Linked DNA regions of Tamandua tetradactyla. The protein of the gene in region 3 interacts with the protein of the main gene of each other region in a pairwise test. Links are inferred from orthologs where the notes say so. Each region holds a gene or a part of one and is shown on either strand. Other genes may lie near its edges.

What was found.
Region 1: the proteins of HSD17B14 (region 3) and SNAPC3 interact in binary tests that used the Homo sapiens proteins (3 or more experiments, as listed by UniProt). The two-hybrid records come from large-scale screens. The link is inferred for Tamandua tetradactyla from reciprocal best matches to the Homo sapiens genes HSD17B14 and SNAPC3.
Region 2: the proteins of HSD17B14 (region 3) and NEK6 interact in binary tests that used the Homo sapiens proteins (3 or more experiments, as listed by UniProt). The two-hybrid records come from large-scale screens. The link is inferred for Tamandua tetradactyla from reciprocal best matches to the Homo sapiens genes HSD17B14 and NEK6.
Region 4: the proteins of HSD17B14 (region 3) and CDKN2D interact in binary tests that used the Homo sapiens proteins (3 or more experiments, as listed by UniProt). The two-hybrid records come from large-scale screens. The link is inferred for Tamandua tetradactyla from reciprocal best matches to the Homo sapiens genes HSD17B14 and CDKN2D.

The regions. Positions count from the first base shown.
Region 1 is NC_135328.1:82,052,239-82,059,607, reverse strand, and holds the start of SNAPC3 (snRNA-activating protein complex subunit 3), read left to right. Parts: upstream 1-4,367; 5' UTR 4,368-4,416; coding exon 4,417-4,730; intron 4,731-5,435; coding exon 5,436-5,513; intron 5,514-7,369.
Region 2 is NC_135328.1:46,339,718-46,347,094, reverse strand, and holds the start of NEK6 (serine/threonine-protein kinase Nek6), read right to left. Parts: upstream 3,014-7,377; 5' UTR 2,624-3,013; coding exon 2,614-2,623; intron 1-2,613. UniProt on the Homo sapiens protein: Protein kinase which plays an important role in mitotic cell cycle progression. Required for chromosome segregation at metaphase-anaphase transition, robust mitotic spindle formation and cytokinesis.
Region 3 is NC_135342.1:12,212,931-12,220,226, reverse strand, and holds the start of HSD17B14 (L-fucose dehydrogenase), read right to left. Parts: upstream 3,011-7,296; 5' UTR 2,822-3,010; coding exon 2,734-2,821; intron 2,300-2,733; coding exon 2,261-2,299; intron 2,184-2,260; coding exon 2,080-2,183; intron 1,590-2,079; coding exon 1,523-1,589; intron 1-1,522. Other genes in the region: PLEKHA4 (pleckstrin homology domain-containing family A member 4), read right to left, coding at 3,284-3,543, 3,833-3,945, 4,437-4,504, 5,298-5,459. UniProt on the Homo sapiens protein: Catalyzes the NAD(+)-dependent oxidation of L-fucose, yielding L-fucono-1,5-lactone, which rapidly converts spontaneously to L-fucone-1,4-lactone. Can also act on D-arabinose and L-galactose, with lower catalytic efficiency. Does not use NADPH.
Region 4 is NC_135337.1:91,278,833-91,285,361, forward strand, and holds CDKN2D (cyclin-dependent kinase 4 inhibitor D), read left to right. Parts: upstream 1-3,854; 5' UTR 3,855-4,030; coding exon 4,031-4,171; intron 4,172-5,081; coding exon 5,082-5,441; 3' UTR 5,442-6,021; downstream 6,022-6,529. Other genes in the region: AP1M2 (AP-1 complex subunit mu-2), read left to right, coding at 467-625, 1,145-1,270, 1,591-1,666, 2,076-2,098; protein KRI1 homolog, read left to right, coding at 6,459-6,529. UniProt on the Homo sapiens protein: Interacts strongly with CDK4 and CDK6 and inhibits them.

The DNA.
Region 1 (7,369 bases), on a different chromosome or scaffold from region 3:
CAGCCAAAAACTAAAGGACAAATACTGTATGGTCCCACTGATGTGAACGGACATTCGAGAATAAACTTGGAATATGTCATTGGTAACAGAGTCCAGCAGGAGTTAGAAACAGGGTAAGATAATGGGTAATTGGAGCTGAAGGGATACAGACTGTGCAACAGGACTAGATACAAAAACTCAAAAACGGACAGCACAATAATACCTAATTGTAAAGTAATCATGTTAAAACACTGAATGAAGCTGCATCTGAGCTATAGGGTTTTTTTTTTTTTTTTTACTATTATTACTACTTTTATTTCTTTTCTCTATATTAACATTTTATATCTTTTTCTGTTGTGTTGCTAGTTCCTCTAAACCGATGCAAATGTACTAAGAAACGATGATCATGCATCTATGTGATGATGTTAAGAATTACTGAGTGCATATGTAGAACGGTATGATTTCTAAATGTTGTGTTAATTTCTTTTTTTTTCTTTCTCTCCGTTAATAAAAAAAAAAAAAATCTCTGATTTGTTGCCCTTCTTCTTTTTTAATGTTGGTACTGAGAGCTATAAATTTACCTTTCAGCACTGACTTTACTGCATCACATAAGTTTTTATGTGTTGTATTTTCATTTGCCTCAAAATATTTCCTAATCTCCCTTGTGATTTTTTCCTTGATCCATTGGTTGTTTAAAAGCATGTTGTTTCATTTCCACATATTTGTGAATTTCCACTTCTTCCTCTATTTTTGATATCTAGCTTCATTCCATTGTGGTTAAGGAAGATATATTGCATGATTTCAAAACTTTTTAATTTATTGTTTTGAAATAAACAATATAGACTTGTTGTGTGATCTATAAAATGGTCTATCCTGGAGAATGATCCATGTACACTAGAGAAAAATGTGTATTCTGCTGCTATTTGGTGAAGTTTTTCATATATGTCTTTTAGGTCTAGTTGGTTTAGAATATCATTCAAGTCTTCTATTTCCTTATTGATCTACTGTCTAGATGCTCTATCTATTATTGAAAGTGGTGTACTGAATTCTCCTACTATTAATGTAGAGCCATCTATTTGTCCCTTCAAGTCTGTCAACGTTTGCTTCATGTATTGTGGGTCTCTGCTGTTATGCGCATATATAGTTAAAACTGTTATGTCTTCTTGACCCCTTTAGCAGTATATAATGACCTTATTTGTCTGTCCCTTGTAGCAATTTTTTATTTAAAATCTGCTTTATCTGATAGTAGTGTAGTTAGCCCATATCATTTTTGGTTGCTACTTGTACAGTATATATTTTTCCATTCCTCCACTTTCAACCTACTTATGTCTTTGAATTTAAAGTGAGCTTCTTGTAAACAGGATGTAGTTGGGTGATGCTTTTTTTTCATCCATTCTGCCAATCTCTGCTTTTGACTGAAAAGTTTAACTCATTTATATTTAAGGTAACCACTAATAATGCAGGAGTTCACCTACCATATTGCTATTTTGTCTTCATAAGCCTTATACATTTTTTGTCCCTCACTTCTGTTAAGGCCTACTCTTAAATTTATTTGCTTTCTTGTATTATACCATATTGAGTGCCTTCTCATTTCTTTCTGAATATATTTTCATATATTTTCTTTGTGGGTACCATGGGGCTAAAATTTAACCTCTTAAATTATTAATAATCATATTTGACTTCATACCAACTTAACTTCAATACACTGATGGAACTTCATACATTGATCTTATACCCTTCCGCACCCCCACCTCTTTTATACTTGTTGCAAAATATATATTTATACATTGTATATCCAAAACAATAGATTTATCATTACTTTGTATACATTTGCATTTTAGCACTTGTAAGAAGTAACTGGAGTTACATACTAAAAAGTACAGTAGTACTGATATGCATAATTACCCATATGCTACCTTTACCATAGCTCTTTATATGTTAACGTCATTTTGATCACTGACTAATGTACTTTCATTTCAATCTGAAGAACTCCCTTTAGCATTGTCTTTAGGATAAATCTAGTGGTAATGAACTACATCACCTTTTCTTTATCTGGAAATGTCCTAATCTCTCTTTCTTTCTTTTTTTTTTTTGTATGCTGTATGGTAGGGTCGCATTTCATTCTTTTTCCATGTGACTATCCCGTTATTGCAGAACCGTTTGTTGAATTTTTGTTGTTGCTGTTGTTGTTGGTTTCTTTGTTTTGGGAAGTGCATGGGCTGGGAATCAAACCCAGGTCTCCCACATGGTAGGCGAGAATTCTACCACTGAACCACCTTTGCATACCCTCTCCCTCATTTAAAAAAAAAATTTTTTTTAAACATAACATATAAAAACTAACATTCTTACCATATGATCATTCCATTCTTGGTATATAATCAATAATTTACAATATCGTCACATAGTTGTATATTCATCACCATGATCCTTTCTTAGAACATTTGCATCAATTCAGAAAAGAAATAAAAAGTAAAAAGAAAAAAAAAATTAAATATACCATACCCCTTACCCCTCTCTCTCATTGATTGCTAGTATTTCCATGTGCTTAATATATTTTAGCCTTTGTTTCACCTATTTTTTCTATACCTCTTATCACTCCCTTTCATTGATCACTACCATAATAATCCACTAAATTTATTTTAACATTTGTTCCCCCTATTATTTATTTATTTTTAATCCATATGCTTAACTCATCTGTCCATGCCATAGATAAAAGGAGCATTAGACACAAGGTTTTCACAATCACATAGTCACATTGCGAAAGCTATACCGTTATACAATCATCTTCAAGCAATATGGCTACTGGAACACAGCTCTACATTTTCAGGCACTTTCCTCCAGCCTCTCCATTATACCTTAACTAAAAAGGTGATATCTGTATAATGCATAAGAATAACCTCCAGGATAACCTCTCAACTCTGTTTGAAATCTCTCAGCCATTGACACTATTTTGTCTCATTTCTCGCTTCCCCCTTATGGTCTAGAAAGTTTTATCAGTCCCTTGATGCTGAGTCACAGCTCATTCTAGGATTTCTGTCCCACATTGCTAAGAAGGTTTATACCCCTGGGAGTCATGTCCCACGTAGAGAGGGCGAGGGCAATGAGTTTGCTTGTCACCTTGGCTGCTCTCCCTCATTTTGAAGTCTTGCCAAATACAAAATTCCTCATTGGCAATTGTGTTCTTTTCAGCACTTTAAATATTTCATTCTGATGTGTTTTTCCACAATGGTTTCTAGTGAGAAATTGGCACTTATTGGGATTCGCGTGTATGTAATTTTCCTTTCAGATTTTGGAACTTTCTCCTTGTCCTTGGCATTGGACAATTTGATTACTATAGTTCTCAGCTTGGGTGTCTGAGTTTACCCTGTTTAGGCTTCACTGTGATTCTTAAGTGTGTGCACTCAAGTCTTTTGTTACATTTCGGAAGTTTTCTGCCATTATCTCTTTGATTATTCCCTCTGCCAGTCACAAAAGGCCCCACATTACATGATTTCTTTATATTATGGTCCAGAATTGGTAAATCTATAGAGACAGAAAGTAGATTAGTAGTTGCTTGGGGCTGGGGAGAAATGGGGCCATTAGGCCATTTTAGCTCAAGGACAGAGTTTCTTTATGCTGTTGATGAAAATATTCTAAAATTGATTGTGGTGACATTCGCACAATTCTGAGTAGAGGAAAAATTGAACACTTTAAATGGGTGAATTGTGTGGTATTTGAAAGTATCGCAGTTAAACTGTTACCCTTGGCCCTCCCCCCAAGGTAACAATAAGAAGAAAATCAGGCTCCTTCTGTGTGTCTTGCTACTTACATTCTTTGGGGCCTCTGAGAGATGGAGAAAGCTCCATCTGAAGCTAGCGATTGTGTTTCAATTCAGTTTTAAACACTTGTGCGTGTGTACAGTAACGCATAAATATATATATGTACATAGCAACTTGGGGCCTTTGGGTAAATTCTAAAGGAACCAGATCTGGAGGGATGTTCGTATCTCGGCCCTCGCTCAGCCTTCATTCCTCTTGTCTCTCAGTCTCTGTGGCACGGACACAGCAGCGTAACCCGGAAACCCCGGAATCGAGGAAAAGTCCCTGAACCCACAGGAAAGCAACAGGGCTGCCAATAAAAACAAAGAGTAGGGCCAAAGTGTTTGGTGAGGCCACAGCACCGAACACAAGGAATCGCCCCCTAGGCTGCTCAGCCCCACCCGCCCGGTCCCAAGAGGCGAAAAGCCACGCCGGGGGCCTACACCGCCCATCGCCGAGAACAATGCGTTCAGCCCAGCGCATAGGCTCGACCCGCAGGTTGTCGGGAAATGTAGTGTCTGATGCCAGAGGCATGCTGCGTCGACACTCGCCCACCAGCAGCCATGCGAAACTACAAGTCCCATCATGCTCCGCGAGATCCTTATTGCCCAGCTTTTGCAGGGAAGGGAGCTTAGCCAACATGGCTGAGGGCAATAGGAGCATCCAAACGTGCAGTGGGGTGAACGGCAGGCAGGATCCTGTCCCCAGTAGTGGCGGCTTCAACTTTCCAGAGTACGAGGTTCCCGAGCTTAACACTCGTGTCTTCCACGTGGGCGCCTTCGGGGAGTTATGGCGCGGCCGGCTGCGCGGGGCCGGGGACTTGTCGCTGAAGGAGCCGCCGGCGTCTATGCCGGGGCGCCGAGGGGGCGCAGACTCTGGCCGAGAGGACGTCGTGGTGGCCCGGGATCTGGGCTGCAGCCTTGCAGCGGCGGCCGAGCTGAGAGCTGTTTGTGGGTGAGTTAGGGCCCAGGGCATTTTGCTGTTTAGGGGCCAGGTGGGGTGCAATCTTACTCGGATCCACCCCTGGGAAGGTTCAGACCCCTGGAGTAGGAGGACCGCTGTTTTAGAAGATTTCAGTCGGCCGGAGCGTCTGGTTAGACTCACCCAGAAAGGTCCTGTGATTCCAACGTACAATATCTGCGAGTTGGGGTGAAGGAGCGAGAGAGCTGCATAAAAGATTAATTTTTCTATTAGCTAATTTTTAAAATGCTTCTTAATAAAGAAAAACTGGGGACAACGAAGTGTACCTGCCATTGACAGTTTGATAATGAAGGAACCTGAGCAATGGTGAAGCTGAAGAAGACCTAATCCGAGGAGTGTTAAAACCTTGATTAATTCTTGTATCTTTTGGAGGCCTGCGGCTCTGCCGTTACTCATTTTTTTTTTTTAAGTACCTTATTAGGGGGTGAAAACACAACAATAACTTTTAACGGTCTTTCGCCATATGAAAGTATTGACTGCTTTCCATCGGTCATATATCCTTTCATTACTGAGTATCGGCATAAAAATCATTTCCTTGATTTGGCCTCTGCTCTGAACCGCCTGATGGATTTTATCTGATATCTTTGTTATTCATTTATATATTTAGGACATAACCCTGACTTCCTATAGTCAGTCTTAAAGTGATTGTTTATCCTTTCTGGTTTTTTTTTTTTTAAGCCTTGATAAACTGAAGTGTCTTGAGGAAGACGGGGATCCAGAAGTCATCCCAGATGATACTGACTTGGTGACTTTGGGGTATGTAAGACTTTGCTTTTTTTTTTATGCTATTTATTTTTAAAAATTTTTTTTAACATCATACTATGAAAAGTTGAAAGTCTAATATCATCATCCATATACCCATCCCTTAAATTCAACCATTGTTAACATTTGGCCATATTTGCTCTAGCTGTATGTGTATGTGATGCCTGCTGTGTGTCTTTTTCTTTTGCTGAACCATTCAGTAAATCATGGCCATCACATACTTTACCCCTAAATACATCAGCATATAGCTCCTAAGAATATTCATTCTTCTGCATAATTAGAGTGGTATTCTTACGCCTTAAAAAATTGGCAATCAGTACATAACCTCGAATATCAGTCCATATTCAGATTTGTATTTGTTTTTCATTATGTGTTCACAAAGGTACAGTTAATTTCCTAGGTAGTTTAAGAAGCAGTCTAAATACTCTGACAGTATGCCTCAAGTTGTCTGTGGTAAAGGACCATCTCTGGTTTTTTGTTCTTTTTTTAATTTTCAATCTTTAGCAGATACATATTTTTGTAAAGTGCTGTAAAAATGAATTACTAGAAAAATGGAGTAAAAAAGACAATATAAATCTAATAATAATAATCTAAAATTCCTGTCAAATTTTTACAAAAATTTATAAATGTTTACTCTCATTTTTCGTGCACTTTGGATAATAAACAGTCAATACCTGTCTGCCAGCCATGTTTGAGAAGCACTGTTTTGTGATAATAATGCTGTAGAGGAATTGTGTTTGTAATAGTGGAATTTATAATTCCCAGTTTATAGCCTACTTATTCCAGACCATCTCAACTAATGTTCTGTCATCTTGGATAAAACCTGTTTTTTCTACCTCAAATATACAGACAGTCACTTCAGTTCTACCTTGTTTTGTTTTGTAATAACTGCCAGATCTGTTCCTCTTGATCCTCATTGCTAATTTACATTGGCAACACTTGGAGAACTAGAAAAGCGCCTATGGGTTGTCCAGTCTTTTCTCCTCATTTATTCATCATACTATCACCTGAGTATGCTCATTTGCTTAGACATTTTCTGTGACTCTAACTCCCCTCTATGGACAAATTTCAAACTTCTTAGCCAGATATTCAGACCCTTCCCTTTATAGCCCAAATCTGCTTTTCCAGATTGCTTTTCAGTCACTTTTTCTTTTGAATGGCTAAGGAGGCATGTGACCCCTCCCCCATCTGAAACCCACCTCATCTTTTAAGACCCTAGGATTCTTTTTCACTTTACCTCTGCTCACCTCTGTCCCTTAGGGTATAGATGCATTTATTCTGCCTTGAGCTATTCTAACATTTCTAAAGTCCTTGAAGGTTCATGGAGACTCCAGATTTTCTCGTCTGTATATTGTCCTTAAGCCTACTGTGCTACTTTGATCCAGTTGGCACGCTGTAACTATTGTTGATTATTAGTTGGGTTTTTCTAAAATGCACATTTGATTGTGTCATTCCTTTGTTTAAAACCCTTCAAAGACCCTTAGGCTAAAGTTCTGAATCCTTTAAGTGACTCAGAAAGCAGAATGAAACTTGCTGACCTTTTCAGCTTTATCTCTGAGGTGTTCCAGCCACATTGTCCTGTTTTTCATTTCCTGGAATGTGCTCTCTCACTCTTGGCCTTTCCCTGGAACACTCACTCTTCCTTAAACCCCCGGCCATGTTGATTTCTATTCATCCTTTGAATCTTAGCCGAAAGACTAAATACTCCATTTAGGTACCCTCATATAGCACATTATACTTATCTATTCAAATACTCATCGTTTTATTATAATATACTTGTTTAAATTTTTGTCTTCCTAGTTAGACTTGAAAGATCTGTAAGCTTTATCTCACATTCATTCCTATATCCT
Region 2 (7,377 bases), on a different chromosome or scaffold from region 3:
ATGTGTGAAGGGGATGCTTGTTCTCACGTCGGCTCCTGGGGCATCTGGATGGTTCCCGGTTCATTTCCGAGACGCCATCACGTGGCCCGTGAATGGGGGCTTATGACAGAAAGCAGAGGGTGGGGACCAAAAGACCCCATCACAACGGGGCGAGGGTTCAAGCCCTTAGGGTCTGTGCCATGGTTCATTTCTGCATCTCCAGGGGTCTGTGCATAGTAGGTACTCAGTAAATGTGCACCGAGAAATGAATTAATTCATCCGTACCCTGCTGCCCCACACCACAGGCTGGCACAGGGCTGGGCACACATGGGGGATGCGGTGATATTTTCTCTCCTGTTTCATTAAATCCCCAGTGCCTAGAACCGGTCAGGCACTTACGAGGCATTCGGGAAACACTGATGGATGAACAGCGATTGAAGGAATAAACGCGTGACCAGATAAATCGCTTAATTAGCTAAAAAATTAATGAGGGATAATGAGTCCCTGTCTGCTGACCCAAATTACACTGTGTAAGAAACTCCTTCGGAGAAATCAAGTCTCTCCAGTTACCCTTAGCGGGTAGGAAAAGGGTGTTTTCTGGGTAATTACATATCTCGATTGCTAACATTAGCACATCACAGCGACCAAATGTCCCCGAATTTTCAGCACTGCGCAATTTCAAAGATGCCGCCCCACAAGCACTTCATGTTATCAGGAGCTTCTCACACACCAGCGACCGAAGAAGGGTTTCGAACCGCCTCTCCCGCCCCCAAACGGCACCGCAGCACTTTTACAGAGCACTGTCCATCTGGGAGTTTGTAAACCGTGGTCACCATGTGCCTACCCTCTGGATGACTGATAGCTGAAGACACGGGATACCACAAAAGCATGCTCAAATGAAAACTATCTATGGCTTGGAGTCTAAGTATTTTCTGTTCATGTTTCCCCAGGAAGGTGAGTAAGGGACCGCGTTGATTCCTGTGTGTTTCTCCCAGAGGCCAGCACGGAGGCTGGTCCTAAAGTGGTGCTCGGCAGCTTCGTGCTGACGCGCCGTGAAAACTGGGCACGAGTCTTACTCATCAGTGACCCCAGCGCCCAGTCCAGCACTCTCTGAGCCTGTCACCCCTCAGGACAAACCGCAGAATGCTTCCCAAATGCTGCCCTGTCACCATCAGGCTGGCTCTAAGGCGGTCCCCACCCTTGTTACAGTCTCTGCCCAGACAAAAACCCAGTCCTCATTTCCTCTTCGGCTAGCTGAGGAGGAGGTTGGCATTTAAAACAAACACAAAGGCCACTGAAATTCCTGGGGGAAGCAAACAAAGGAAATGCACACACAGACACAGGGCTGGGAATGCCAAGTCCACACTTGTGATTCCGCTGTAACCAAATGCAGCCGGGCTCACCGGACCCATCAAACCCAGGGTGTGGGATCCCTCTCCCCGGCTCCCTGTCTGCCTGCCGTGTGGTGCCCAGTGGTCCCGCCATCTGGACACCCACCCCGGTGGCCCGCCAAGACCATACCAGCTGGAGAACTATTCTCTCTTTCAATCCTGGGATTCCCTGTTTGCTGGACCAGTTCATTTGCCAAACAGAGGTGGCTTGGAAGGATTAGCCCCTTGCCTTCTCAAAGCAATTATACAAAAGATGTATTCTTTAAACAAAAAGCATGCTCCACACAAAAATGCAGCTTTAAGATATGAACCCTGGTACCCATTCCCCAAGCCCCTCCATAGACATTCAGCAGCTACTTCTGCAGAAAAGCAGCAAAGGAAGGAGACCCATATAACTCTGGCATGTGCAAGCCCTTCTGGGTTACGTTTTGGCAACCAAGTTCCTCCTACTTGGAGCAATTTGCAGTTGAGTCCTTTCTCTAGAAACTTCCTCTTCATCGAGGAGGGTCAGTTGGGTGCAACCCAGTTACTCAATGAACAGTAGGAGGAGGGAGGAGGGTGGAGGGGCCGTTGCTGCCAGCAAAGCCTGCTAACTGATTAGTTAACTCCATATAAACATTCTCCAAGGATCCTGCCACTTGCCCACATAAAACTTCCCATTTGCCCAATAAATACTGAGCACCTACTGTATGCCAAGCATGATCTGGGCACATTTCAAGTCCCTGTCCTCAGGAAGCTTACTTTCAGTCTGGGAGGCCAATAACACATATATGATGTCAGGGAAAGGTAAGCGCCATGAAGAAAACTAAAGCCTACCCAGGGAATAGAGAGTGAAGGGACAAGAGGGGCTGACTAATAGGGAGAGGATGACAGCGTCTCTCTGGAGAAGTGATGTTGCAGAGCCTTGCATGAAGTCTAGAAGAAAGTCATGTGAATATCAGGGGAAAAGAATTTCAGAAAAAGGGGATGGTAAGTGCAAAGGTCCTGAGGTGGAGTATGTTTGGTATGTCTGAGGAAAGGAAAGGCAGCTAGAGTTGTTGGCACAGAGTGAGCCAGGGGGAAACTACTGAGAAGTGAAGCTGGAGAAGCAGCAGGGCCCCACCTCTTAAAGACCAAACCTTGCCCAGAGCCTGAGGGCCTCAGCAGCCTCCCCTCCTGCCGATCGCCGGTGTTTTTTGTGGCTGAGCCTCCCTGGCCCTTTCTCAGGCACCAGATAAACAATTGACGCTCCCAGCAATGGTACCTTCCCACATGCTATTCCTTCCGGCCACCTGGGAGGTCCTCTTCCAGGTGTGCGACTGGCCATCCCCTGTGCTAGCTCCTGGCCTAATCGGTCCTTCCGGAGGTCCTTCCAGCCGCTGCCCTCCTCTGCCAGACCCGCACGCTGCAGGTTTCCTCACAGCACTTACGCTGAAGGCAATTAAGCACCACGAACCCTGGACTCTGCATCTGTTTCCTCGTCTATAAATCGGGCATGACAGTTCCTACCCCACAGAACCGCCGGGAGGATGAAGGGCGTGAATCCATGGAAAGGGGTCAGAATAGCACCTGGCACCTGGTACCCACGGAGGAGCTGCTGAAGGGACTAAAGGCTGACGAGGCAGCAGGAGGTTCCTGGCTTCACAGTGTCCCAGGCCTGTCCGCAGCGCAGGGCCCTCGTCCTGAACCCCGTGCCCTGTCCCACACCTCCCCACTCACCCACTCACCCTGCACCCCAGCCCTCTCAGGCCTCCCAGCTTCCAAACGCCCTGCCTGGGACACGCCCGTGCCCTCTCCCTGCCCAGCACACCTCACATCTCCCTCTAGGCTGGCTCAGATGCCCCTCACTCTTGGAAGCCATGCCCCCCCCCCCGTTTCCCCAGAGACGACTGCTGCAAATTGTTCACAAACACCTCCGAGGTGGGCATGACCCAAACTCTGTTCCCACCCAGCAGGGAGAGGCCAAGGCACAGCTTTGCCGGCTCCCGACACAAAGCCAGACCCAAAACGTTGGAACACATTTCATGAATGAATGAATGAACGAACGAACAAACGCGTATGTGATGCGCCACATTCCAGCCAGCACAGGCGTGTCTGGTTAACCAACTGGAGTCCACTCGGCCTGAAGGACCAGCGTGGCAGGACTCCAACCACAAGGCACACAGGCCTTGCCGCCGCCTCTCTCTGGGCCTCAGTATCTCCACGTGTAAACGGAGAGGCTTTCATACTTTTCTTTTTTTAGGCATCAGAACCTTTTCTTAAATTAACTCCTATGCAAAACCTCCTTATGTAAAACAGGTAACAGGAGAAGCACTTGGCCGTATTCGTAGGGGCCTTGCAGGGAAGACTGTGACCCCAGGCCCCATTCTTTTCAGATTTCTCATCGTCAAGTTTGATTTTTAAGGCAAATCATGCCGAACTGTGCCTGAGAATCAAGGGCCACGAGCCTGGGGTCACTCCTGCGTTTTTCCAGACACATTCGCCCGGCGGGGGAGGGGGAGACACTGGATTCTGAGCCCCCCCGGAGCCTCCGGCGCCCTCTCCCCAGTACACCAACCGGGGCGGGGTCTCAGGTGCGATACCCGTCTAAAGAGCCGGGCACAGTTCCAGCAGGGGCTGCCGCAGGAAGGGCGGCCCCTTCCGAAGGCCAAGGATCTCTCTTCTCTTCCTCGGGGAAAACCAGCCGGTTGAGGGAACCCCAAATGACTCAGGAGGGGGCGCAGGGCACACACAGACCCCCTCAGGCCTGGCCGATGGGGGCTCCTGGGGGAAGGGAGTCTCGTGCTCACTTCTGACCAGGAATTGGCTGCCCCGTCGCCCGAGTCTGTGACAGCCGCTGCTGTCAGCACAGACCACGGATGGGGCCAACGCTGTGTAAATAATTAACAAAACACCTGCCTCGCTTAATAAAACACCACGGCTGGCGCAGCTCTCGTGGCCTCCCGAGACTCTCCCAACTCCGAGAGGCGGCACCAAAAACGTCTGAAGGCTCGCTTTCCTCACCACGTGGGGCTGGGAGGGGAGGAAAGCACAATACCTGTTTCCTGAGACACCTCAGGGCCATCCTGACATGTAAATCTTGCCTCTCTCCAACCTGTCTCCTTCCACCCCATTTGGGAGTCATGGGCATAGAAAAGAGCTTCAGCAGCACCCGGCTGGGGGCGGGGCGGGGCGGGCACCAACACCTCCTCTCAGCCCTGGGCAAGGGCACTGCAAACCCTCGGGGCACATTCTTCCTGCCTGTGTGACTCTGGGCAAGTCCTTGGTAATTAAAACCTCCAGGGGTGACCCTCAAGCGCCTCCCAGGTGCCACCCACATGTTGAGCACTTCCTGAGCATTATTTTCATTGCATTCTCCCCCAAGTCTTAGCAGGTCATCATCCCAACCCTGTTTTCCAGATGAGGGGAGTGAGGCCCAGAGAGCTAAAGTGACTTGCTCAGAAATGTCAGGTCTGGAACTCAAAGCTTGTCTTCAAGCTTTGATTGTGGTTGCGAGTCCTCCCCTCTCTGGGCCTCAGTTTCCATTTGGCCGAGAATCTGTCCAACTCCCATAGCCTGTCCATCCCAGTCCGCTGAAATGCCACGGGTCCCTCTCGAGCCCAGTGCTCCTGGAGCATGCTCTCCTCTGCACTGACAGCCTACTGAGTTCCCCGTTGGCAGCAGGCATGATCAGGGCTGAAGAGCCTTTTAAAGTATTATCTACTTGCAGATCACTTCCCAATAATTCCCAGTTTCAAAGACCTTGTGGACAATCAGGGACGAAAGAGGGCAGGCTCTGGGGAAAGGCAGCGTGAACAATCCCAGCCCTGCTGCTCGCCCGCAGGGACGTTATATCTGAGAGACTAACCTCGGCACCTCAGCTACGACTTGGGCACAGGGGAGTTCTTCAATGGATTTCTGTTCCTTGGGGTCGAGCATTGCCCCCCCTTCCTCACAGCACCCCCTGCCCCCCACCCCCAGCCTCAGGGTCCAACAACGAGGGTAAAATGCAGCACTGCAGGCTCCCAGCAGCTACTCCCCTCCCCTCCCTTGTCAGAATTCCTTCACACTCTATGGAATTCTTGCATAAAGCCCTCTTTCTCTTTTTCTATGAGGTCACCATCACGCAGATGTCTAAAAGAAAGAACGGCTCCATGTGAATCAAGACAGTTGGAACCGAATGCATTTCGGATCACGGCCAGTCGCGCCACCTTTCAACTCCAATCACCTCCCCTCATTCACCTCCCATATGGAGTCAGCTCGGGGGGTGAGCCGGGTTTCGTGGGATGCTAGGATCCTACCAGTGGATGCCAAGGAGGCTTGGCTAGAAGTCTGGTGCCTTTGCAACCAGACCACCCGAGAAGGCGCCTGTGGAAAAATCCAGAATTGGAGACAACAGTGCCAGCCTGGAACTAACCTGGGGCCTGTGTATGTGGGTCTGTTTCCATACAAGCAAATCCCATTAGAGAGACAGATGTCAAAATGCTAGATCACATTCCAATTTCAAGTTCCCCTATTTAACGTCACAGGAAATTACACCATCGACTGATCTGCCCCAAAGTCGGCTTCTCTGTCTGGGAGTCAAGCCTGAGATCGCCACTTCTCAGGTTTGGCCAAAGGAAGACACTGAGCGGTGTGGGCGCCACTCAACTCAGATGGCAAGGGGTGAAGTCACTGGCCTAATTTTCTCTTTTTAAGCTAAATTTTCCCAAAAAGCTATCTTGCCACTACCCAAAAGTCGGAAATGAAAAGATAGCCACAAATCAAGGAGCCACTAAGGCCCCCACAGTCTGCCCCTGGTTGGCGGCCAAGTCTAACTACCCACTGCCCGCTCATTTTAAAGCAATTTCACAGACACCCAGGAGGCACCTAGACCACCCCAATGACTGCCTTCTCTCCAAGAAGCACCCTTGCTCCCAGAGCTCTGTGTTCCCACTGCTGCCAGATACGATGGCCTAGGAAAGTTCTGTATGGCATGTGTGCACTACTTCCTAAGAATGATGTCAGCAAAAAAAAAAAAAAAAAAAAAAACCGATAAAAATGTGGAAGCAAGGACTATTTTTACCACCCCAAATCACAGACCAGACGGAAGAGAAATCCATCAATGCCAGAAATGTGGCTGAGCCTTTGCACAAGATCTATTATTTCACACCTTAAATTAACGCATCTCAAAGCAATTTGCAAATGTTCATCAATTTGCAGAACATGCTTGGAAGGGAGAGAAATACCTTTTCCTTTCAACACCAAAGGAAACTTGCAGAGGCACAACACAACCCAAACCACACAGGTGCTCACACACAAACACAAGCATTCCTTTCAAGTTCAGTGAAGTATAAACCGTGATCTAAATGGAAACATGAATAAAAGAGACAGTTATCCGACTGAAATGACAAGTGACAAGAGGCCTATGTAAAAATGATCATGTTTTCAGCTACTCAGATTTGAGCATCAGACCCTTTGGAGAGAACTTTTATCCTCGGGGTCAGAACTCTGGGCCCTTCCTCTGAGCAGTGTTTGCTTTCACCACACACACAAACCTAGAGGAGCCAACCTCTACTTGAGCCCAGATGGCCCATCTGGGGACTCCTCTCTCCACCCTCTAAGGTCTTTGCTTGTCCTGTCCCAAGAAAAGGAAGGGAATATTTTTCTCTTTTTGACAATTGTTTTGACACTTCCCTTATGAAACGGATCCTTGGCACACTGAAAGGAAATAAAAATGTAAACCACAGCCCTTTCTAGCTGATAGCTCTGGCCTGGTCATCTGTACCAGAGGTCTAAGAGTGGACAAGGAAGGAGAGCAGCGCCTTCGGGAGGGGGCAATCAGCCCTGTAGAGACCTGGCATGCCTTAACCCATTTGGCTTTTCAGCACAGGAGAGGTGAAAGGCTGGACAAATACAGCCAGACTTGGTTTGAGGTTAAGAATCTCAACTCTGGGGCGGGCCACGATGGCTCAACAGGCAGAGTTCTCGCCTGCCATGCCAGAGACCCGGGTTAGATTCCCGGTGTCTGCCCATGCCAAAAAAAAAACAACAACAAGAATCTCACCTC
Region 3 (7,296 bases):
GATTTAATCAGCTGGTGTTTAAAATGAGAGAGCTCAACGTAGCACAGCCCAAGCAGCTCAGCATACCTCATCTCAGCACTCGCAGCTCAGCCCAGGCCTTTGGAGATGCAGAAAGGAATCACCCAGGGGAAAGTTGTTGGAACCCAGAGGCCTGGAGAGAAGGCCAGCAGAGATCACCCTGTGCCTTCCCACATAAGAAAGAACCTGAGTTGAAAGTTAGCTGCCTTTCCTCTGAAGAACGACACGTTTTTCACGAAATAAATCCCCTTTCATTAGCAGCCAATTCATCTCTGGTGTGTTGCATTCCGGCAGCTAGCAAACTAGAACCCCAGCCCTGACACTTTCTGGCTGCGGGACTTGGGTTGGCACTTCCCCTCTCTTTGCTTCAATTTCCACACCTACTCCATGAGGGTAACATCTAGGCCTTGGGCTTAGAAATTTCCTGGGTCAATATTTGTACCTGACAGTTTGTACTGCAACCATGTTGGTTAAATAAATAGGAGGAATCTGGGAACTATGGGAAGAGAGATAGAAAAACCAACAGCCAGAAGACAAACAGGTGGGGGGGGGGGGATAGAGGATGATGGGAAAGATAAGAAGTGGGAAAAGAAGGAAACTGAGTCATCTGAAGACAACGTTAGGGGCCAAACGGAAGGATGGGGCAGGGAGATAGAAGCAAAGCCCAGGGATAGGAAGTTGTCTCATGGCATCAGTTGCCACCACTTTGTCATGTTCCTGTCCTCTCTGTCAATAGAGACACAGAGATGTACATATGTACGTACATAGAGATCTATGTACTGTATTTGTAGTTGCTCAATATGTATTTGTAGAAGGGATAAGGGACGCAGAAAGGACAAAGTAGCAACCGCCATCTCTTTAAACCCTTACAACAACGTGAGGAGGAAGATACAGCCCAGAGAGGGTGAGTCACTTGCTCAAAGTTGCCCAGCTGACAAGGGAGATGCCAGGCCAGCCAGGTCACCTCTCTGAGCCCCGGTTTACCACACTGAGGCATTCCTACAAAGGCCAGTCATGAAGTCAGTGGTAATTTCCCTTCGAAGCCACCTTACCAAGTCCTATAAACCATGCACCACGGGGCAGCCTTGCTGTCATCAGCTAAGAGAAAGGCCATGGGCCTCACTTCACAGATGGGCAGACTGAAGCTACAAGGCAGGGAGCAGCTACAGTGGTGATGGAATGTAAGTGGGGCAGGCTCAAGGCTGGGTCTCATTCAGTACTCACACCAACCCTATAAGGAAACACTTATGATTATTACTATTGTCCTCATTGTAGAGATATGGAAACTGAGGCACAGAGAAGTGAAGACACGGGCCTGGGGGCACACAGCAGGGATGAACACAGCCAGGATTTGCGTCCAGGCCTGGGGAATCCCATAGCTGCATTGTTCTACCAGCATGGATAGAGAGAAGGAGGGGCAGGGAAAGGGGAAACAGAGGCACAGGAGGCGATAGAAGGGCGGCAGGTTGGCTGGCACTGGGGAAGGCCCAACCTCACAACTCACGGTGGCCAGCGTTGTTAACCACACAGTCCAGGCGGCCAAAGCGGCAGATGGTCTCGCCAACCAGGGTCTGTGGGGAAAGGTGTCCTGTGAGAGGCCGGGGGCCAGGGAGCTCCCCACAGCTGGCGGTGAGGGGGCGCCAGGGCTGTCAGATACCAACGGACTGTTCAACGCAGACTTCCATCGTCAGTCCAGGGACAAAAAGGAGGGGACGGAAACCCAGGGAGAGGGGGCAGAGACCCAGAGAGAGGGGTGGGGGAGGAAACATTGTTACGGAATTCCTTCACTGTGAGGGACTTAGTCACTTCCACGCAGCTGATAACTGTGATAAGAGCCCTGGAGAAGACGGAAATAAAAGAGAACTTTCCAGAGAGACATCAGCAGAATCAGTGGAGCCTGGAGGGGCAAATGACATTGGGCTGATGCCTTGGGGAATTTAATGAGGAGAGGAGGGAAGGAAGAGGAGACAGCTTTGCCACAGCCTCAGCCTCGTGGAGAAAGACATGAAAATGAGATGGTAGCCGCTAGCGACAGGAAGCAGGGGCAGGAATCAGGCTTACCGCCATGTCTTCCTCCCGAGTCACATCACAGCGAATAAATACAGTTCCAGGCAGCTCCTGCTCCAGGGCCCGGCCACAGGACTCTGCAGGGAGACCCCCCGGGTCTGAGGGAGAAGGGGCTGGGGGACCCGGGGGTCTGAGGGAGGGAGGAAGGCTGGGGCAAGGGCGGAGGGTCCCTCACCATCCTTGTCACAGATGACCACTTGGGCTCCACTCTCCACTGAGAATAGAAAAGTCAACTGATTACCTGCCTGTACCTTGGCAATGGCCTCTGCTGCTCCCCTGAGGCCACCTGCAGTGGGGCAGAACCCCCCCCCACCCCCGTGTGTTTTCCTCGTGATCCCAAAGGACAAAGGGCAGAGGCCCTAGCATGGCGAGGCCTTGGCTCCTTTCCTCCACCCCTGGGTTCCAGAGTAAACCCCAAGGCTGGGCAACCCATCTTCCCCGAGCCACCCATTTGTAGCTACCATAACTGAGACCCCGAGAAGGGCCAACTAACTTTTGAACACCCCGCCAAAACCTCTGGCCCCAGGCGACCGCCGGCACCCTGTCCTTAGCCATGGAGACTGGATGCGGGTCCTCAGGCCGGGCTTGGAGGCCCCCTTCCCACACCTTTAGCCCCAGGCCCCAAAAGCCCACGAGCCCCCAACTCACCAAAGGCCCGCACGACCCCCGCGCCGATGCCGCGCGCGCCCCCGCTCACCACCACCACCTTCCCCGCGTAGCGCGCGCCCGCGGCCATCCCGGCCCAACTGTCCGTCTCGCTGCGTCCCTCGCTCTGTCCCTCACTCTGGGCCCCCTTCCAACCCCAGAATCCGGGGAGGAGCTGGGGGGCGTCGGGTCAAGTGCTAAACAGGGGCTGGATCCGCGCGGGCCGGCCTCGGGGGCGGTGCCGGAAAGGTGGAAACCCGGAAGTGCGACCCCAGCCCCTCCCCCTCAGACCCGGGGGTCCGGGCCCCCAGAACCTCCCCCTCAGACCCAGGGGTCCCGGCCTCCAGCTTTGCTTTCCAGACACTCCTGCGCCAAACCCCCAAAAAGATAGAAAGAAAACTGTTGACCAAAAGTTCAAAGTTTTATTCCGAATTTGGTCAGTGCTGAGAAAACCAGACTCCGGGTGCAGAGCCCGCCCCCCTTCCCGGCCACACCACAGCGGGGGGACCAGGCCGCGCCCCCCACCCCACGATTGGCTGGGGCGTCCCGGGGCTCAGAAGCTCGACTGCAGCAGAGTGACCCGCAGAGGCCACGCCCCCTCAGCCGCCGCCAGGGCGGGGGGCGCGGCCTCGCCTGCCCACGTGGGCTCCCAGGGGGCGGGGCCTCCGCCGCGCCCACCACCCCGCCGCCTGGACCCCGCCGGGCGGGAAGTCGCCGCGGGAGGAGAGCTTGGGGGAGACATCAGCCGCGGCGTGGGGTCCGACGGCGGCGGCGGGGATGGAAGAGGTTCTCCCGGACCATCCAGGTTTCCACCTGGAGGGGACGGGTGGGGAACGAGAATGGCAAACCTTACGACCCAGGAGTCCCGGCCCCAGCCCCTCCGCCCCCAGACCCCCAAGTCCAGGCCCCCCCAGCCCCTCCTCCCTTACACTCGGGGGTCTCTCCAGCTCCACCACTGCCTGGGACCTAGGACTCTCAAGATCCGGCCATATCCTCACCCAGACAACATTCCCCGCAGCCCCCTCCTCGATAGGACCTAGGATTCCAGGCCTCCCACTCCCTGTTCCCTAAATCCCAGGGGTCCCAGCCCCCAGCGCGTCACCTGTCATCATTTTGTGCCACTGTGACGCCTCAGTGGCCAGGGCTTGAGACAGGCTGAGGACCCGCTCCCGGTGACCTTCGGACGTGGGCAAGTATGGGGTGGTGTTCCTCGGACTAGGAAAAAGGGGAGATTTGGGGGTGCGTGTCCAACTCGCCGCTGTGGTGGGAGCGGAAGTTCCCCGCGGGTGCTTCACTAGATGTGTCTCTGCAGGTCCTTAACTGGGCGCGTCCCACGCGTGGGTTAGGGGATTTCTAAGCCAGGCGTCCGAAACTGAAGCCGATTTCCTCTAAGGAGGGGCAAGGTGGGAAATCCACCCACGGAGTTTGGACAAGTTTGCAGCTCTCACCGGAGAGCCAGGGCTTTCTGATTTTCTCTCAGAAACTTCTGCGTCTTTAATAGATTCTGCCACCTGTATGTCAGTACTCGGGAGAATTTCATCTTAATGACAGGCCACTGAATTGTATACTTGCCAGTGGTTAAAATGGGAAATGTCATTTTGCATGTTTCCACAATAAAAATAATTTTAAAATAGTAATGATGGTACTCCCTTCCCCTTTGGCAAATTAATTTCCCTGCTCCCTTGCCGCCACCATCCACTCCTCACCTACTCCAGGACCCCGAGCTTCTGAGCCATTTCGAGGCTCCCGACTGTCCCAGGGAGTCTAGGCCAGGCTGGGAAGGAATCGGGTCGTTAGAATTATCCTTACGTGGAAAATCGGGGCCGGCTTTTTAAAATTATAATTTATTGTGTTTTTTTTTTGTTTTTGCAGCCCTGGAAAAGAGGTGAGTTAAGGTGGCCCCCATCCACTCCTGTTCCTGGAAACAGCTCCCTTCCCCACAGGACTTAGCTAGAACTCCTAGTGACCCCCCCTACTGCCCCTCCAAATCCCCATCCTTTATTTCGTAAACGATCCGCTGAACTGTTTCTGCCCCCCAAAGCTAGCTAGATACAGAGATAACCATTTCCTGTTTAGCTGAAGGATTGACAGCTGTGGAATCACTTCCCCTATAACTTGTCTTCACATCCCTATAAAAGTCTAAAGTTAAACCACCCTGCCGATGGAGCCCCTCCCATCTTTGGATCTGGGGTGCTCTCCCTATTGCAACAGCCCAAATAAAATCAATTTCCTAATTTGGATGATTTTCTTTTTTCTCCCTTTGACAACTCATAGCAGCTGAGAAGAAAAGCTGGGCTTGGAATCCAGACCGGAGACCCCCACCTTGAAGGGGGAATGTGGTTTAGGTGGAGCTGTTATTTCAGTCTCCTCCCCACTTTCACTCCACCGAGGGGAGCCAGAAGGCAGACTTTAGCACGGGTACAAGTTGGGGTGAATCTGGAAGCCCAGTTCTGGCTAGGGGGGTAGGGAGCATTCCCATTCTACAGAGAGGGAAACTGTGGCTCAGAGCAGACACAGAGGCACCCACGATCACCCCACTCCCCACTGCCCCACCCCGTTCCCCTCACCCTTTGCTCCACATCAGGCTGGCGTCTGGCTGGGGACAGCGTCCTCCCCAGGGTGAGGAGCCGGGGCGAGGTGGGGCGAGGGCTGGGCCGTCCACGCTCCTGGTGTCTCCGCATGCGCTCCAGCTGCTCCTGGGCACTCATGCGGGGTCGGGCGAGGGGGCCCTGGGGAGGCGAGCAATGCCCAGAGATGCGGCTGCCCCTCCTCCGCTCACAGCCCTCCCGTGGCTCCCCAGGACCCCCACAACCAAAACGAGGGGAGAGGGCTTATTGGCTAACTAAATTATCAGGACAGCTTTGGGGACCTGCCTTGAGATGACTGGACGAGCTCATGCTTGCCCTCAGTGTTTCCTTCATTCTCAAAACAGGAGGGAAGAGCACTGGTTGCTGCTGTCTGCAAGGAGGGCGTCCCAGCTTATCCCCTACTGGTGTGACGTGGCCAGCCCCCAATCCCATGGGCTTGGAGAGAAGAGAGGGGCAGTTCCCCAAATGTAACCAAGAAGTTAGGATTGAAGGGATGATTGTGGTTACTGAATTTATATTATATAGATACTCCTTTTTACTTTCTGGCATTTTAGAGCAGACAAAGGGAAATACCTGAAATCTTTGAATTGTAAAGCAGCTGCCTTGATCTCTGATAATGTGCCCCTGTGATCATAAACAACCTGATGACTAACCTTCACTTGTACCCGTTTATCTAATTTTTTTACTTTAGAGTTTTGTGATCACTAAAGAGAGCCCCTAAAGTTTATTAATGAAAGGTCTTGGGTCAGCCCAGAACTAACCCACCCCAAGCCCAAGGTTATTTCGATAACGGAGACTGGATCTACCCCAAATGGGCCTGCCCGACATTGCACAGTAATTTAGACTTTAACCCATTTGTGGCCTATGCCTCATTATAATACTAAAAATCACGCCCATCAGTATATGAAGATCACCATTTTTTATATAAGTTCTGTGGGTAAGCATGTAATCAGTCTGCACATGCTCAATAATTAGATCATCTCTAACCCCATCATCTTGAGCCATTTGTGCTCATCATCCGAAAACCTGCCCGTCCTTTGGTACTCTAACACTATCAGAATTACTGCAGTTCAGAGAGACAGATTTTTAGGTCAGTTAGGTCATCTGCTCTCCTGATACGTGCCTAGCAATAAACTCTTTTTCTCTTAGAAACCCCAATGTCTCAGGAATTGGCCATTTGCACACAAGGGCAAAAGAACCCACAAACTTTGTCCCGTAACACAAATAAGCGTTGTTCAGAGCCACCCCGACAATTCACGTCCATTGAGACCATTGAGAATGAAAGAATTTCTGTATGTTTAGGAAAGGACTGATTGCTCTGTCTCCACGATAAGACACCGCGGGAAATGATTTTTCAATCTGTTTCACCCAGAAATCACATCCGACCCTGACCACGCCTCTGAATGCCAGCCAATCAGGGGGCCACACATGCCTCAGAATACCAGCCAATCAGGAGTAAACACATGCTTTGTCAGCCAACCAATCAGGGCCATCTACGTTGTTGAACGCCAGCCAATCAGGAACAGACACAGCTTGTACACCTTAAGGCCAATCTTGTTCCCAAGCCTTCTGCCCCCGGAAGTCCATCTAACCTTGTGTCCCACGTGACAGGAGTTTGCCTCTCTGTTTTGCTCAAGAAAATTAATAAATTGAGTGATTTGTTTCCAATACTGAGAGATGGCCTCCTGGTCATCGCCTCCTCGCCTCTGCCAGGAACATACGTTTTCTGCATGGGCAAACCTTTTCTCTCATCCAGCTCAACTGTCCTTTGAAAATTTCACAGTGCCAGGGTCTGGCTGCCATACACCCACGCCTGGCTGATATGCAGGAGGATGCTACTTGTGCCTCTGTTCCCCGTGGAACTCAAGCACCAGGTCTCGGAATCATTGTTGAGCGAATAAAGGGATTCTGGCTTTCTTCTGACAGTGGCCACATCTCAGAGTTTAGGGGGAAAGACAAAGGGGGCAGCTCCTTGGCC
Region 4 (6,529 bases), on a different chromosome or scaffold from region 3:
TTAGAATGGGCAAAGTGCTCTTTCTCTCTGTGCCTCAGTTTCCTCACTTGTAAAATGGGCCTTGGGGATGATTCTTACCTTAGTGAATGGGTGTTCGACTCAGAAGCGGGCACACAGGAGGGGCCCAGGAGAGTCCAGCTTCAAACAAAAACTCCTTTTTGATGGACCCATTTTTGGAGCGGTGTTATTTTTGAACCAGGCAAAGGTGGTTGGCACCGTCCCAATGGAAAGTGCTAAGAGCCGAACCTCCAGAGTCCAGAAGCAACCGTGCCCCTTATGGGCTGGGCGTCTTGGGGTGGATGCCTTACCTTCTCTGTGCCTCGGTTTCCTCATTTGTCAAAGGGGCAAAATAATGCCTCCCCCACCCCAAACTCAGGCTGGGTGGTGCGTGAAGGGCTTGGCGAATGCTGACTGGACGCAGGAGTGAGTCCCCGGTGCCCCACACTCTCCCCGCCACCCCCGACAGGCCAAGGGACAGTTTAAGAAGCAGTCGGTGGCTAACAGCGTGGAGGTCTCGGTGCCTGTCCCCAGTGATGCTGACTCCCCGCGCTTCAAGACCAGCGTGGGCAGCGCCAAATACGTGCCGGAGAAGAATGTTGTGATCTGGAGCATCAAATCCTTCCCGGTTAGCACTGGGCGCAGGCGGGGATTCTGGGGTGGGGGTGGGGGTACCTGACCCCAAAGAAGAGAATCATGGGGCCCCACACGCACCGTCGTCCTTTAGGGGTGCCAAAGGTGGAAACCAGGCCAGCCTGGTGCATCTCAAGGAAACCCAGCTCTGGGTTCGAATCCCAGGCCCTTGCCTCTCGGAGCTGGTGGGATTGAGAAACCCACATCCCCTACCCCCGCCCTTCCCCGTGGAACCTCAGTTTGCCCAGCTGTGAAGCAGGAGTGTAACACCCCCCTCCCCCCTCAAGCCACTGGAGGACTTGGCCTGTCCCCAGCACATCTGGGGTGTCATGGTCCCCGATAAGGTTTGGGGGGCTCAGAAGCAGTGGTTTTGAGTCTCGGCCAGGGGCCTTTGGTTCCTTGTCTGTAAAATGGCCCAGAAGACACCCCTGCTCCAAGCATCGTTTCCATGGGGAGTGGGACTGGGAGCGTGGGGGAGGCCCCCGGACTGTCTCATGTCCTCGTGTGCCCGCAGGGCGGCAAGGAGTACCTGATGCGGGCCCACTTCGGCCTCCCCAGCGTGGAGAAGGAAGAGGTGGAGGGCCGGCCCCCCATCGGGGTCAAGTTCGAGATCCCCTACTTCACGGTCTCTGGGATCCAGGTGGGGTGTGGGCAGGAAGCTGCCTCTCCTCCATGCCGGCAGGTCCCCCTCTGTCCTGCTTCTTGACCCAGGCCACCTCCCATTCCCTGGCTGGAGTCACCTCTCCCCTGCCTGCCATGCCTCCCCCCGCTCTCTGCCTGGGTCCCCTCTCCTCTGCCTCTCCCTTTAGCCTGTCCCAACTACTCCCCCCTATACACACACTCTCTCTCTCTCTCTCACACACACACACACAGCTTGTTCATTTCTCTCTCTCCCTCTCCCACAAGCTGTCCCTCCCCATCCTCTTAGCCACTGCCAACTCTTTTCCTCTTCCCTTCCAGGTCCGATACATGAAGATCATTGAGAAAAGCGGCTACCAGGCCCTGCCCTGGGTACGCTACATCACCCAGAGTGGTGGTAAGGCAGCCTCGCGCCCTGCGGGGGTGGGGGGGAGTGGGGTCAAAGAGATGGGGGGACCCTGACCATCATCTGGCTCAGAAGCACTCCCAAACCCAACAGGCCTGCCCCTCCTTGTCACCCAGCCACCCGGCCTTGCCCACCTTCAAAACAGCAGCAACTGCTGCCCTGGGGGGCCGTGGGGAGCAGGCCAAGGGCTGGGTACACAGCATCTCATCCGTTTCCAGGAGACAGGCATGGTTACCCTTCCTGCCTTTGGCTCCATGCTTGGCCTGGTGACACACAGAGGGGTGGGGTAGTTTTGGCTCAGGAGCGCTGGGGCAGGGAATGGAATTGGGGGCTGCCTCTCTGTCTCCCCCCCTCCCAAATTCTGAGATGGTCTCTGCCCATCATTTCCTGTTTCCTGCAGATTATCAACTTCGGACCACCTAGAAGGAGAAGAGATGATGGGGCTTGGATATTGGAGAGGGGGAGGGGGGCCTCCCCCTCTCCAGGCTGGAAATTTTAGAGGGAGGGAGAGCCCAGAGGGGAAGGGGCAGGACGGTGAGGGCAGGCCCCTGACTTGGCAGTTTTTTGATCCCAGTACCTGGCCCCCTTCCTTTACCCATGGGCTGGCAGGGATGTTCTCCCTGCCCCCCAATGCTTGGGGTGACCCCCGATTTTATATGAAGAAATAGGGAAGGGGCTCGACACCCCCCCCTCACGAGTGCCTTCTTTCAGTGACCTGCCTTAGGGGGTGTCGGGAGCCCCTCCATCAGCTGCTGAGCCCAGAGGCCCCGCTGGCCCATTCCTCTGAATTTTAGGATGTCATTAAAAAAGAGTCTACCAAAAAAATTTTTAAAAGGTGTCTAGCCACTGCCGGTGTACTTCCTGGGCGGTGGGTGGGGTAGGGGTGGAGTAGGGACTGGGCTGCCAAGAACGGCCCCGGGACATTGAGATGGGAAGTGGGCAGCTGACATACACACCCGAGCTCCCCCACCCGCCTGCTGCCGGGGACCAGTGCCGCAGTTTCCACGCGGGTTCGCGGGTCCCGCAGTTCCCCCCCCTTCCGGAGTGTGTTCCCCTCCCCAATCCCATGATCGCCACAGACCGCCTAAGTCAGATCACGCTCCTCTGCGCCGAATCCTCCCACGGTTCCCACCCGGGTAAAAGTAAAAGTCAAGTCCTCGCCGCAGCCCACAAGCCCTGATCTGCCCTGCCGCCTCCTGGCTCTCCCCTTCGCCCACTTTCCCCACTTCGCTGTTCCTGCACGTGCCAGACTCGCTCCCGTCGGTCGTTCTCTCGGCCTGGGGATGCCTTTTCCGAGAAAGCCACATGGCTCCCTCCCTAGAGGGAGGCCGCTAGAGAAACGTCACCTTCTCTGGGAAGCCCTCCGTGACCTCCCTGTTTCAACGCTCTTCCTTTCCCAAGGAACCACCACTTATTTGTCCTGTTTTATCAGCTTCCCAGCTTTCACCACTCAGAGAAGACTGCGTTATTGCCCTTTCCCCCATGCGCAGGGCCCATTTGGGCGACAGTGCACGGCAGGAGCTCGGTAAATGTTTGCACGCTTGCAGGCTGAAACGATTTGGTTCCAGTGTTGGAATGCGCGCCCCGGAACAGCGCCTGCACGGACTGCGGTGAATGAATGAAACCCAAGCGCTCAGCGCATGGGAAGGGCCAACGCACGCTGATCGCGGGGCAACGGAGCGGAATTCTGGACTGGGCGGCCCCCGCCCTGCTTCCCTCCCTCCTCTGCCCGGGCCTCGCTCCCCCGGGTCGGTTAAACCCGCCCGCCTTCCCGCCCGCCGCGCGCGTTTGAAAACCGAAAACCCCGCCAGGGCCGGCGGCCCACCGGTCGCCGCGTCCGGGCCAATCAGGAGCCCTCGAAGCCGCCCCGGCGACGCGCGGCTATTGGTTGCGCGGGCCTCGTGGGCGGAGCAAGGAGAGGGTCACGCGCCGGGCAGGCGGTGCCTGGCTACAATGTAACGAGTTGGTAGGACGACAAATGGGCGCGCTCGAGGGGCGGTGCCTGGGCCTGGCTCCGCCCCCCGTGGCGGGCGCGGCGGCGGCGGCGGCGGCGGCGGCGCAGAACAGACCCCGCCCGTCGCGGAGGAGGGAGGGTGAGCTGGGGGGACCCGGCCCCCAAGGGGCGGGCGGCGGAGGGCTGGGCCCGGCTCGCGGCCCCTCGCCGGCGGCCGGCTGACGGGGCGGGGAGGAGCCGGGCTGGGAGGGCGGAGGTCGCCCCGGGGCGCCCCCTAGGACGGCCGGGCCGGGGCCGGGCCCGGCCGCTCGAGCTGGGAGGGCTTTTCGGTCGGCGGCCTCGCCCGCACTGACGCGCTGCTGGGGGGACCGCGGGGGGTCCCGCAGGCCGCCGGTGTCGACATGCTGCTGGAGGAGGTCCGCGCAGGCGACCGGCTCAGCGGGGCCGCGGCCCGCGGCGACGTGCAGGAGGTGCGCCGCCTTCTGCACCGCGAGCTGGTGCATCCCGACGCCCTGAACCGCTTCGGCAAGACGGCGCTGCAGGTGAGGCCGGCGGGCCCGCGGCGGGGGAGGGGCGCGGCTGCGGACCGGGACCCCGAGCCCTCCCCTCCGCTCCCCTGGGCCCGGAGGGGCCGGACTGGGGACCGGCTCCCCTTCTCTGCCCCGACGATGTTCGCCGAGGTCGCCTTTCGCGGGAGGATGGTGGATGGGGTGAGGTTGGGGGGAGGAGGGGGAGTCCCTGGTTTCCGGGGGGCGGGGGGTTCAGTTTTCCCAGTCGGGAGGACCTGATACTTAGGATCCGGGTTTCATGAGGATGGTTCAGGTTTCTTGGGGTTCTCCGTGCAATGGGGGTGGGGCCGGGGTCCTTGGAAAAAGGGTTTCATGCTTCCTGGGGGTTCTCAGAGAGGTCTCCGGTTACTTGGAGAATCTCACTTTACTGGGTGGTGTGCAGGTTCCCTGGTAGGTCATGTGGGGAAGGGAGTCCCAGTGGGAAAACAATTTCAGACTGCATGAGTGTCCCTAACTCCCTGGGGAGCATTTTATGGGGGGGGGTGTCTCAGGTATTCTGGAGAGCACCTCATTATCTGGGAAGTATTCCCTGGAGAAGTGGTTTTCAATCCCCCAGTGAGCATCCCGTTCCCTTTGAGCATCCCGTTCCCTTTGAGGGAGCCACCAAATACTTTGGGGGGCTGTCCCCATTCTCTGGGGGCCCATCTTCTGGGAGAGGTTTCATATTTCCTGGTGATTTCCCATTTTGGGGGAGATGGGAGCTCTGGTTCCTTGGGGGAGGGACTTAGGCTCCCTGAAAGTGTCGGGGGTGTGGGGCTACCCCCTGGGGGAGGATGTCTTGGACCCCCAGAAGTCCTTTTTTTCCAGGGGTCTCAAACAAGTCCCAGGGGCCTCGTGCTCCTGGTGTTTCTCCGGGCCCCCCTGACCCTTTGCCCTCACACAGGTCATGATGTTCGGCAGCCCCACTATTGCCCTGGAGCTGCTGAAGCAAGGAGCCAGCCCCAATGTCCAGGACGCCTCCGGCACCACGCCAGCCCACGACGCAGCCCGCACAGGATTCCTGGACACCCTGAAGGTCCTAGTGGACCACGGCGCCGATGTCAACGCACCCGACGCCACCGGATCCCTCCCCATCCATCTGGCCGTGAGGGAGGGCCACGCAGCTGTGGTCCACTTCCTGGCAGCCGAGTCCGATCTCCGTCACCGGGACGCCGGGGGCCTCACGCCCATGGAGCTGGCGCGGCAGAGGGGGTCTCAGGAGATCACGGACATCCTGCAGGGCCACTCCGTGACCCCACTGTGACTCCGGGAGGCCGGCTCCAACCACAGGAGCCCAACGGGTTCCTAGGGAAAGAGGAGGGAAGAGATACCTTCTCCCCTCACTCCTCTCCTCCAGTACTGAACGGGGAGGGGCACCAGTTTGTGGCTTGTTGTTGATTTCTGGGGTGTGTGTTTTTTGGGGGGGCATTTCTCGTTGGTTTTTCTCACCCCCTTTGGTGTGTTGGACAGAGAGGGGCTCCTACATACAACAGCTACCTAAACGGTTGTTTCCTCCGCGCCCCGGGCTGGCGGCGCTGTGGACCAGCCCCTGAGTGAGGCTGCGGCCAGGTCTGAGCCACCTGTGCCCAGAGAGAGCCCTGAAGTATGCTCCCTGCTTTGGCCATTGGGGAGGGGGGAGTGTTCCAGATCAGTAGAAGGGTGGCAGGAGGTTCATTTATATTGTGTTGGGGGCCTGTTTTCCAGTGTCCTGTACAGTGTTTAAAAAAAAATTCTATTTATTAAGCTTTATGAAAGAAAATGTTGCGTGTGATAATTTAATGTTTTTATCCATTAAATTAAGACTTGAGCATGATCTCAAATTAAAACTTGAGCTTCTGATTTCCGAGTCTGGTGTGGGGAATCGCGCGTCCAGTGAGGGGGTAGGATCGGGGTGGGGGGCCGGTCGCCGATCGCCCGGAGGCTTCGGGGAAGGGGTGACAGCGATAATTCCCAGGGCACCAGGGATGGGGCGGGAGCTGGGTGGGGCCGCGGTTTGCACTGTCGGAACGGAAGGGAGGCAGGAAACCGCGAGTGGAGAAAGGGCCCCCAGATGTCAGCTGGGTGCCCGGAGCTCCGGGGCGGGCGTGGGCGGCGGCCGCGTCCTTCCCCGTAGGGGTGGGGCCTTCGGCAAGGGGCGGGGAGGGGTGGGGAATCCCGGAAATAGCCGGGGGCGGGGCCGGAGCGGGCGCGTCCTTTAAACGGCGCGGGGGGCGGGGCCGAGCGCGACCCAGCCCCCTTCCTGCGCCCCGCCACGCGCGTGCGCATTGGGCTGCCGACCGCCATGCCGGGCCCGCGCGCGGCGTCGCCGTTGCGGGTGAACGCGGCGTTCGCCGCGCGGTACGGCCGCTACCG